Linked DNA regions of Canis lupus familiaris. The protein of the gene in region 1 purifies or fractionates together with the protein of each later gene. This does not show direct contact. Links are inferred from orthologs where the notes say so. Each region holds a gene or a part of one and is shown in the gene's direction. Other genes may lie near its edges. The genes, in order: TWF1, DBN1 and CAPZB.

Region 1 (2,572 bases):
AGCTTTTCAGGCTTTGGAAAAATTAAGTAACAGACAGCTCAACTATGTGCAATTGGTAAGAGACATGATAATTATGAAATGGCAGTCCTTTCTGGTGTCTCATGGTTCATATAAGGTTTATTTTTAATGGATTTAAAATTGTTTTGTTTCCTGATTTTTTTAAATTCATTTTCTTAAAACTACAAGACAATGTATGTTCACTGTGAAAAGTCAAACCTGTGTAAGTTTCCCCTTGTCTGCTAGGTTTTTTTGTTCTGTTTTGTTTTTAAATATTTTATTTACTCATTCACGAGAGAGACAGAGAGAGGCAGAGACACAGGCAGAGGGAGAAGCAGGCTCCATGCAGGGAGCCCGACATGGGACCTGATCCCAGGACCCCGGGATCACGCCCAGGGCTGAAGGCAGGCGCTAAACCGCTGAGCCACCCAGGCGTCCCTCTGCTAGTTTTTTTTATTACAATTTTTAAATTGCTGTGTATCTGTTTTAATGAAGCTATTTCTTATTGACAGGAAATAGATATAAAAAATGAAATTATAATTTTGGCCAACACAACAAATACAGAACTAAAAGATTTGCCAAAGAGGATTCCCAAGGATTCAGCACGTTACCATTTCTTCCTGTATAAACATTCCCATGAAGGAGACTATTTGGAGTCCATAGGTATATAGTATATTGCTTTAACATGTTACTTTCAGTTGGCTTTTTGGTATTTTAACACTGTATTCTCACTCTTGCCCAGAAGACTTAGCTATAATTCTGTGAAGTTTAGTATTTGCTTTAATTGTTGTAATGCTAATTGTATTTATTATTTTGACTTACAGTTTTTATTTATTCAATGCCTGGATACACATGCAGTATAAGAGAACGGATGTTATATTCTAGCTGCAAGAGCCCTCTGCTAGAAATTGTAGAAAGACAACTACAAATGGATGTCATTAGAAAGGTAAAATTACCTATTTATTTTTAAATTTCAGTATTTGTTAGATCTTTATTGTCTTTTTCATGTAGTTCATGATGTATCATGATTTATTAATGAAAGTATTTTTTTCTTGTTCTCATCATAAATCTTCAGGGTCTCCTTTACTCTAAGTGCCTGGGGAAGATCTATCATTGCTCCAGGCTCCTTATAGATCTATGCTAATATGCAGCCATTAAGCTACATGTGGCTATTTAAATTTAAATATAAATTAAAATTAAATAAAATTTAAATTCAGTTTCTTAATCACACTGGCCATATTTCAAGTGTTTGTAGCTACAAGTGGCTATGGCTACTGTATTGGAAAGTGCAGAATTTAGAGAACATTTCCATATTGCAGAAAATTCTGGACAGTGCTGCTAGATCTACATACCTGTGCTTGTCTCAACACTTGCTATTAATAAGGAACTAGAATCTCCATTTGTAACTGAACCATGGGATGGTTGAGAATCTATTTGTTGAGTAAGGAGGGAATGGGCATAAACATTTGCATTTGGGGAGCTAAGCTACCAATTTAATTAAATTTATTTTCTTAAATGCAAATGAGGCATGGGTAAAGATGTGGTTTATTCTTGAACCCTTCAACCCATTAAAACACACATCCCTACAAACTGCCAGTGTATTGGGTACTAACCCTTTATGCTTTTTTTTTTTTTTTTTTTTTTCTCTCTTTATGCTTTTTAAGATCTGAAGGTATAGCAGGGACTGGCTGACTTTTTCTACTATAAGACCAGATAGTAAATACTCTGTTTCACCAGGCTACATATGGTCTTTGTTACATACTCTTGTTTGCTTTATTATTTTATGTTTATAGCCCTGTAAAAATGTAAAGCACCTCTTAATTTGGGTTAAATTTGGCCCTGTTCTAGAGTAATTTCAAGTGACTCAAGTAACAAAGGCGCTAATGAATAATGTTTCTTGGATATGTATAGTGTAACAAAGCAGAGCAACTTGAGAATATAGTGGTGGCTTCTTATATACTAGGTAGAAGAAGAAAGAGGAACCAAATAGAAAATGATTATTGCTGATTATGTGTTCAGGCAACTCACAACCCCAGGGAGGGGTTTCCCTCCCCAAAAAATGTGGAAGTGAAACTATTTACATATGGTCCTTGATACTCTCCTGCTAGAATAGGTGTTACATATTTATTACACCTGAAAACTGGCACCATGGTTGCACTAGGTTTTGAATGTTGTCTTTTTCGTATAGTATCACACTTTACCAATTCCATCTCTTACAGATTGAGATAGACAATGGGGATGAGTTGACAGCAGACTTCCTTTATGAAGAAGTACACCCAAAGCAGCATGCACATAAGCAAAGTTTTGCAAAACCAAAAGGTCCTGCAGGAAAAAGAGGAATTCGAAGACTTATAAGGGGTCCAGCTGAAAGTGAAGCCGCTGCTGATTAAAGTCATTATATTAAGCATTACAATACTAGTTTTTTAAAAGTCCAGCTTTTAGTACAGGAGAACTGAAATCATTCCATGTTGATACATAGTAGGGGAAAAATTGTACTTTTTGAAAAATAGCACTTTTCACTTCTGTGTGTTTTTAAAATTAAGGTTATAGAAGACTCATGATTTCTATTTTTGAG
Region 2 (3,652 bases), on another chromosome or scaffold:
CAGCTTTCAGGCTGAGCTGTCCTTCCCTGATCCTGCCCCATGGCATATAGCTCTGGCCTCTGTCCCCTAGTCCCCCACTTAAGCAGTGTGTCCCATCTCGTGTGCTACCCCAGCTGAAAGAGGGAGCCATATTGGGCTGAACTTCCCAGAAACAGAACCTCCCCAATCTTGTGTTGGGGAGGGGCTGGAGGGGCAGGGGCGGGCCCCAGCTCAGGGCCTGCACTGCCTTGGTGTGGGGGGTTGCAGAAGGAGGAAGAGCTGAGGAAGGAGGAGGAGCGGAAGAAGGCCCTGGATGAGAGACTCCGGTTTGAGCAAGAACGGATGGAGCAGGAACGTCAGGAGCAGGAGGAGCGGGAACGGCGCTACCGAGAACGGGAACAGCAGATCGAGGAGCACAGGTTGGCCCTGCCCCCACCCTAGGCCACTTGCTCCAGGCTGCATGTGGACCCACCCTGAGGTATGCATGCCCGCTTATCATTCCAGGAGGAAACAGCAGACTTTAGAAGCTGAGGAGGCCAAGCGACGGTTGAAGGAACAGTCTATCTTTGTAAGTTTTTGTTTGGGGCTCCCAGTCTCCTGGTTAGGGGAAGTGAGAATAGTCCCTGTGTTACTGGGCCTCTGTTGAGGGGGGTGGGCCTGGGAGGAGCTGGTTATCAGTGGCTTGACGACTGTTCTGGGTGTTCGGAGTACCTCTGCATGGGCATGGGAGTGTCACAGAGTGTCAGGCCTGCCACCCAATCATGTGGGTCTCTGTTCCTGGGCTGTGGAAAGAGACTTCCTTGGAGAAGTTTATTTTGTAGACTGAAAGAGAAAATCTGTCTTGACCCAGTCCCTCACTGACCTGCCCCTCCCCCCCAACTCCTCCTCCCAGTGGAGCCTGAGAAGCTTGGGGTGGGTTAGACACACTTCCTGCACTTTGGAGGGGCTGGAAACCTGGTCCCCACCACAGTTGTGCTGCAGAGCCACACGAAGGAGTTTGGGCCCATGTTCTGAGCATCTATACACAAGTGTGTATAGTTCTAGGGGTGTTCTCGTACCTCTACACACTGGGGGTGGCCCACAGAAGCATCCTGGGGTTGAGTCTTCATGCTTTGAATTGAATTTTGTATTTCAGAAATAGCCAAGGTCATTTAGGGTGGAGCATGGTAGAGTTCTGAGTGGGAGGTGGGCAGTACTCATGTGGATTAGTGATGGCCAGTTTTGCCATGAGGACCCAGATGAGCTCCAGGAGGGTCACCCCCGCAGGAGGCTGGGAGGGAGGAGACCCGACAGCCATGCCGACTGTGGTATGAAGTGGCTGTCAGAGTTCATTGCAGTCACATCAGCGCTGGGGGTGGAGATGTGTGGTTAGTGAGCTCCAGCTACAGTTGTTCATTCAGCACACCTTTGCCACCTGCCGGGTACCAGGTGTTAGAAACAGTGGAGAGCAAGATGGGCAAAACTTTTTTAAAAAGTAATTGATGAATCAGTTTATTTTGAATTGTGCCAGAATGTCCATAAAATGTGCCATCTTAACCATTTTTAAGTATACAGTTTAGTGGCATTAAGATTCCCAACATATTTACATTGTACAACTATCATCACTGTTTATCTCCAATTTTTTTCATCTTTCCATATTGAAACTCTGTCCGCATTAAACATTAACTCCCCATTCTCTTCTCCCCCAGGTCCCTGGCAACTGCCTTTCTACTTTCCGTGAATTTGACTACTCTTAAGTACCTCATTTGAATGGAATCGTAATATTTGTCCTTTTGTGACTAGGTTATTTCACCTAGTGCGGTGTCTTCAAGGTTCATCCATGTGTCAGAAGGTCTTCCTTTTTAAGGCTAATAACATTCCTTTGTACGTATACACCGCATTTTGTTTATCCATTCAGAGCAAGGTCGTTTTGAAAAAGCTTGCTTTATAGAGAATTTCACATACAGACACGCAAAGGTAGAAAGAACAGTAATAGTGCATTCCCCTGAAGTGATCACTCATCTACACCAGTTGTCAACGTTTCAGGCAAAGTCTTATACCCGGCCCTTCAGGTGTGGCTCATAGGGTAGTGACAGTGGATATTCAAGCAGGTCAGTGTGGTGATCCTACCACTTCAGGTCCTCTAAAGAAGGTCTCGTGACAACTTTGGAATTTAGAACCATAACATGCTGTCTCTTTGTTTAAGCTGTTGTTCTGCTTAAGAATTGCGTTCCTTGCCTAGGTTCCCTTTCTGCCTGAGCGGTCAGGGAGCCCCCACGTATCTGAAAACACTCAGGCACAGCAGTGCTTCTGACCATGTGATTAGTGTGTTGATCTCGCTTTTCCTACCCAGTACCCGTAATTTGTTTCAATCTTTTGCACGTCGTTAGTAGTTAAGGCTTTTGTGGTGAGCTTGCCTCTAGTCCTTTTTTTGAATGAGGCAAAGGCATCTAGTGAGGTCACACTAGGCGGTGCTGAACACCAGCAAAGGCTGGTGGGATGTAATTTATGGGAAGGCAAGGAGCCTGGCTGGAGCCCAGTCAGCTGAAGAGCAAGGGAAATTGGATTGGAAAGAGAGCTAGGTCAGAGGAGGACTTGAGACTTCATTCTGGAAGAACGCAGAGTTGTGGTTGGAATGACAACCCTCTTGAGGGGGATGCTTTGATAGGCCATTCTCTTAATGTATCCTGAGAGCAAAGTTTGAGTTTAGATTACATGCACAAAGCAGAGAAGCTCTGTAAGTCCCCCACCTTACCTGCAGCCTCTCCTCCCCTCTGCACTCAGTCCCTCCTGCCCCATCAGCCACAGTGGCAGCAGGAGCAGCACCAATTAAAAAGCTTTGATGTAGTGAGTTCAGTTGAGCAAACACATGCCAGCAGAACCTTGTGCTGGATCTCACTTCTTGTTCTGTGTCACCACAGAGGATAGGGGCAGTGAGCCCAGAAAAAGGAAGTTATGATACTGTGTAATCTGTGGTGTGTGCCTAGAATACCTCATGGAGACCCCAAAATGACCTGAATGGGCGAGGGACCACTTCTCCAGGAGGCAGTATCCAGGCTGAGGATGGAAGTGGGAAGAGTTGGACCTGGGCTGGGAGATGGGCACTTGGGGCAAGAGATTGATCTTCCATGCAGAGGCACGGGAGGGGGGAGATGATGTGCACATTCCAGGAACTCTGACTGCATCGTGTTGAGGACTTTGTGGTTACATCTTAAAGGGTGTGTGAGTGTTAGAGAGGTGATGGACTAGATCAGACAAGGGGAAGGGGAACAGGGGACACGCAAGGAACTCCTGTCTATCTTTATTCCTGGGGTCGCAGCCTCTAAACTGTAGTGCAGCTGGCTGGTAAAGTGCACTAGGGAATGCACTTGTGGTGGGGACTGCAGCAAACGGGATAGCACATGCCTGGGTTGAGGTGCCTGGGTTGAGGGCTCCTGCAGCGCTGCTCTGGCCAGTAGTTGCTTTGGGGCGTGTCCATTGTTGCCAGGGCTTCTGGCATTTTAAGAGAAACTGGAGACACAACACAAAAGCCTTCTGTGGGCCTTAGTCAGCTAGTACTCACTATACTCTTGAGAAACCCGCCAAGGGATTTTAAGCTAGGGAAATTCATGGTCTCATTTGGATTTAGGAAAGATCCTTGTATGAGAGAAGAGCAAGGAGGCAGGTGACTAATGGGAAGCTCTCGGTCATGATG
Region 3 (3,652 bases), on another chromosome or scaffold:
CAGCTTCAGTCCCCAGGGCCCCATTCCATGTGTCAGGCTCTGCTTTGGGGCCGACAGCAGAGGCAGGGAGCCGCTCCGGGGGCTGCCCTGACTTGTGGATTCACCCAGGAGACAGATTCCTGGTCTCCTGCTTGTATGGTTTGAAATAGCGAGGAGCCCCCTGGATCTGCATCTCTCCCATTTCCACCTGCCGGTGGGGAACTCAGTCTGGCCCCTGGCGGGTTCTGTTCCTCCTCTGGCAACATCGCTGTCCTCTGGTCACCTGGGGCCCACGCTCCGTCCCGCAGACACGCTCCTGGCAGGGGGGTGGTGGCCGGGCCCCCTCCAGCCTCAAGCTCAGCGGCTCCCCCTCTGTGCTGCGCCCCGGAGCGCAGGGCCCTTGGACACGGCTCTGCCTTCTACCCCGCACGCCCCTGCGTCTCCAGCAGTCATGTCGTGCTCCTAGGTGCGTGTCCCTCCCTCCCGCCGCACTCATCTCTGACCACTCTCTGTAGATCTGTTGACGTAATCCCCGACCACCCCAAGTTTCAGCAGCTGCAGAGGGAGCTTTCCCAAGTGCTGACCCAGCGCCAGATCCACATCCAGCCTGATAACTAAGCCGACGCAGGTACCCTGCCTGAGAGGCGTGAGCACCCTCCCCACTAAACAGGACTCACCAACCCGCCGCCACCCCCGGACCAGCTGTGGCTGCGCGGTCCTCTAAACCACCACTAACCCCCGTGTCGGCTCACGGCTGTGGGCGGCCGCGGTAACACGTAGAGTCGGCCCCGTGTAACCCAGACCCGTATCACGTGTGTGCTGTGTGTGTGTCTTGCACTCTAGGCAGGGGTGGGTGTGGGGCAGAGACGGGGCTTGGCCCTGGCTCTGGAGGAAGCCCAGTCTGGGGATTAACCCTGCGTCTCCAGCAGAAGCCGCCTGTCTGCACCGCTCTGGTCTCAGAGCCGGGGTCTGGGCACAGCCTTCGCTCGGCCGCATGCCCCAGGGCAGCCTCCCCGAGCCCCCTCTCTGTGCACCAGAGCCTCTGGCCTCCCCACCAAGCATCCCAGAGGCCAGATGAGCCTTCTCCATGGGAAATGGACAGTTTGGGGCCGTGGCTTGTGAAAGGGGTGTGTGGCCCCGAGCCGGAGGCTAGAGCACAGAGCGGAGGCCAGAATCCCCCCGGCTGGGCTTGCTGCACCCCCAGACCGGTTGCTGCTGGAGCTGCTTGGACCGGCATAACCTTCTGCCCCTAACAAGCTGCGGCCGTCCTCTTAAACGCCTCACACTGACGGAAAGGAGCAAGTGTTGCTTGTTGACCACAGCTGTGAACCCCGACTTGAGCCCATGACAGATACAGATGGGGGAAAGCCCGCGTCCTGGGAGAGGAGGGAAACTTTTAATCCAAGGCACTCAGAAGCCCTCAGGGCAGGGCTAAGGGATTTCTGCCCAGACCAGGGACTGGCCACTGGAGGCCTGACCCAGAAGAGGCCCAGCAGGATTTCGGGGGAGCGGGGGGCATTGATGCAACCAGGCTCCTCTGTGTTCATGGGACTCCAGTGTGTCTGGGCCTCTGAGTGCCACCCTCACGCCTTGCGCTGGGACATCCCATTCCCATCGCAGCGAGAGGAAACCTTCTTAAGGCGTGCCGTGGTACTGCCGGCGTCTTCCCCAGCCTCTCAGCTTTTGTTGGGGGTGGGGTGGGGTGTAAAGTCTTCTAGAGCCCTGCCCTGGGTCAGTCCCTTGGCCACCCCCTGGAAGATTTCCAGCATAGAGCCCCCCCCCCCCCCCAGCAGCGGGCAGCCGGGCTCTCCGTGGGTCCAGGACACGTCCTCCTTCCCACTCTGAGCCACCAGTTCCTCTGGGCATTGATTGGACATTGCTTGGCAGTGACCTTTCCAGGCTGTGTCCCCCAAATTATATCTCCAGGCCATTCTGAGCCCAGTCTCCCGTGCCTTACCTAATCTCCCTCTGGTTCTAACTCTGGAACTTTCTCCCTTGTGGAGGTTGAGGACAGGGCCCAGGCCAGGCCTGGTGTGCTTGGCTGCTCCTTCCCAGAAGAGCCAGCACCCACGCAGGCCGGGGAACCGTGCGAGCTGTCGCTTCCTCCCCCCGGAAGCTTTTCCAGAAGCACATGGTGGGCCAAGAACCGAAGCCCGGGGCCACCAGGGCTGCCGTCTGACGCTTCCCTTTGCTACCGCTGAGCCGGGGCAGCCCAGGATGCTTGTTCAGAAACATTCCACCGAAAACCATGGCACTTCTCCTGAGAGTTTTTTAGTGGTTTACGGATCAGCTTATCTGTGCCACCCTCAGACTTGGGAGGCCACGTGCCATGATTTTTCTGGGATTCAGTAGCCAGAGCTCAGTTTGGGATGTTCTTGGTTCTCCCAGTTCTGGAAGTCGAGGATTCTTTTCTGCCCCGTCTTCCGGCCTTTTCACGGCCGATGCATTTCAAGCCTGAGATTCCTACGGGCCGCAGTGTCCACAGCTTTCCTGCCAGGCAGCCTGCACCCTTCCGTCACTGCTTCAAAACTGTTGAAAAGTTTATAAGAAGTTTAGCAACTTCTTGGTCAACACGTTGGGTCAGTTTGACAGAGCGACCTTTCAGGCCCTTGGAGGGGGGGCACTTCCCTGAGCCTCAGTTTCCTCGTCCGTGGATTGGGGACACCAGGAGGCCCCCCAGGATCTTTGAGGGGAATGAGAGCTGTGTGGGAAGCACTGTGTGCGCCGCCCGGCCTTTGCAGAGCTTAGCGGCCGCTTGCTCCGGTGCAGAGCTTAACGCCCGTGCGCAGGTGCACCGGTCCACACGGCCCCACAAATCCAGGATCGGACAGCAGGGACCCAGGGCCTCTCGTCTCCGTCCCATGCTGCCTCCTGAAATCCAGGCTGAGGGAGCTTCTCGGCCAAGTTCAGCTGACGGTGCCGCACAGCAGCAGGCTGCCCGCGCCTGCCCTTTGGGGCTCAGATGTCCAGAGGTTCTTAAGCGTTCGCTGCACCCTGCACCCTGCACTTGGGGGGTGAGCCGCGGGCCGCCTCTGCCGGGCAGGGGGGCGGTGAGGGGAGGCTCCCCGGCAGGGCCCCTGAAGCACGAGGGGCTCGGCTGCGTTGCTCTCGAAGCCCCGGAGCCACCCTCTGGCTCAGGCTGACTTGGGACCCGCGCCCGGAGGAGTGGATGGGGTTCGGTGACCCCAGGCGGGCCGTGCACGGAGGCCCGCGCCTCTCCAGCGCCCCCAGCCGACGTCAGCCCGGCGGCCCCACGGTCACCCGAGGAGGCAGCGTGACCCGGCCCTCGGGCCGCCGCTCCCCGCCACGCGCACTGACGCCCTCTTTCCCCCTCCCGGCAGGTCTGTGCAGACTTTCGCAGACAAATCAAAGCAAGAAGCTCTTAAGAACGACCTGGTGGAGGCCTTGAAGAGAAAGCAGCAGTGTTAGAGCCCCGCTCCGCTCGCTCCGGACACGCCACGCGCTCGGTAGAGTCCTTTCTTAGAAAACTCGTCTTCTGCCCCCGCCCCGCCCCGCCCCCACCAGGTCCCGTAACACCGGCATCGCGACCGCACAGCGCCATCTCCCCAGAATAAAGCCCAGTAAACACCCCTGTCTCCGAGGCCTACTTCCCACCACGTTTTGCTATCAGAACTCTCCTTGTTTCCAGAGCCCGTGTGCTTTTGTTTGCCCC

What was found.
Region 2: the proteins of TWF1 (region 1) and DBN1 purify together in Homo sapiens (affinity purification with mass spectrometry; 3 studies listed by BioGRID and IntAct, with this or other methods). This does not show direct contact. The link is inferred for Canis lupus familiaris from reciprocal best matches to the Homo sapiens genes TWF1 and DBN1.
Region 3: the proteins of TWF1 (region 1) and CAPZB purify together in Homo sapiens (affinity purification with mass spectrometry; 3 studies listed by BioGRID and IntAct, with this or other methods). This does not show direct contact. The link is inferred for Canis lupus familiaris from reciprocal best matches to the Homo sapiens genes TWF1 and CAPZB.

Annotation. Positions count from the first base shown.
Region 1 is NC_049248.1:36,255,967-36,258,538, reverse strand, and holds part of TWF1 (twinfilin-1), read left to right. Parts: coding exon 1-55; intron 56-509; coding exon 510-660; intron 661-821; coding exon 822-943; intron 944-2,216; coding exon 2,217-2,387; 3' UTR 2,388-2,572. UniProt on the Homo sapiens protein: Actin-binding protein involved in motile and morphological processes. Inhibits actin polymerization, likely by sequestering G-actin. By capping the barbed ends of filaments, it also regulates motility.
Region 2 is NC_049225.1:36,792,229-36,795,880, forward strand, and holds part of DBN1 (drebrin), read left to right. Parts: intron 1-246; coding exon 247-398; intron 399-483; coding exon 484-547; intron 548-3,652. UniProt on the Homo sapiens protein: Actin cytoskeleton-organizing protein that plays a role in the formation of cell projections. Required for actin polymerization at immunological synapses (IS) and for the recruitment of the chemokine receptor CXCR4 to IS.
Region 3 is NC_049223.1:78,771,023-78,774,674, forward strand, and holds part of CAPZB (F-actin-capping protein subunit beta), read left to right. Parts: intron 1-494; coding exon 495-597; 3' UTR 598-607; intron 608-3,320; coding exon of another isoform or gene 3,321-3,408; 3' UTR 3,409-3,652. UniProt on the Homo sapiens protein: F-actin-capping proteins bind in a Ca(2+)-independent manner to the fast growing ends of actin filaments (barbed end) thereby blocking the exchange of subunits at these ends.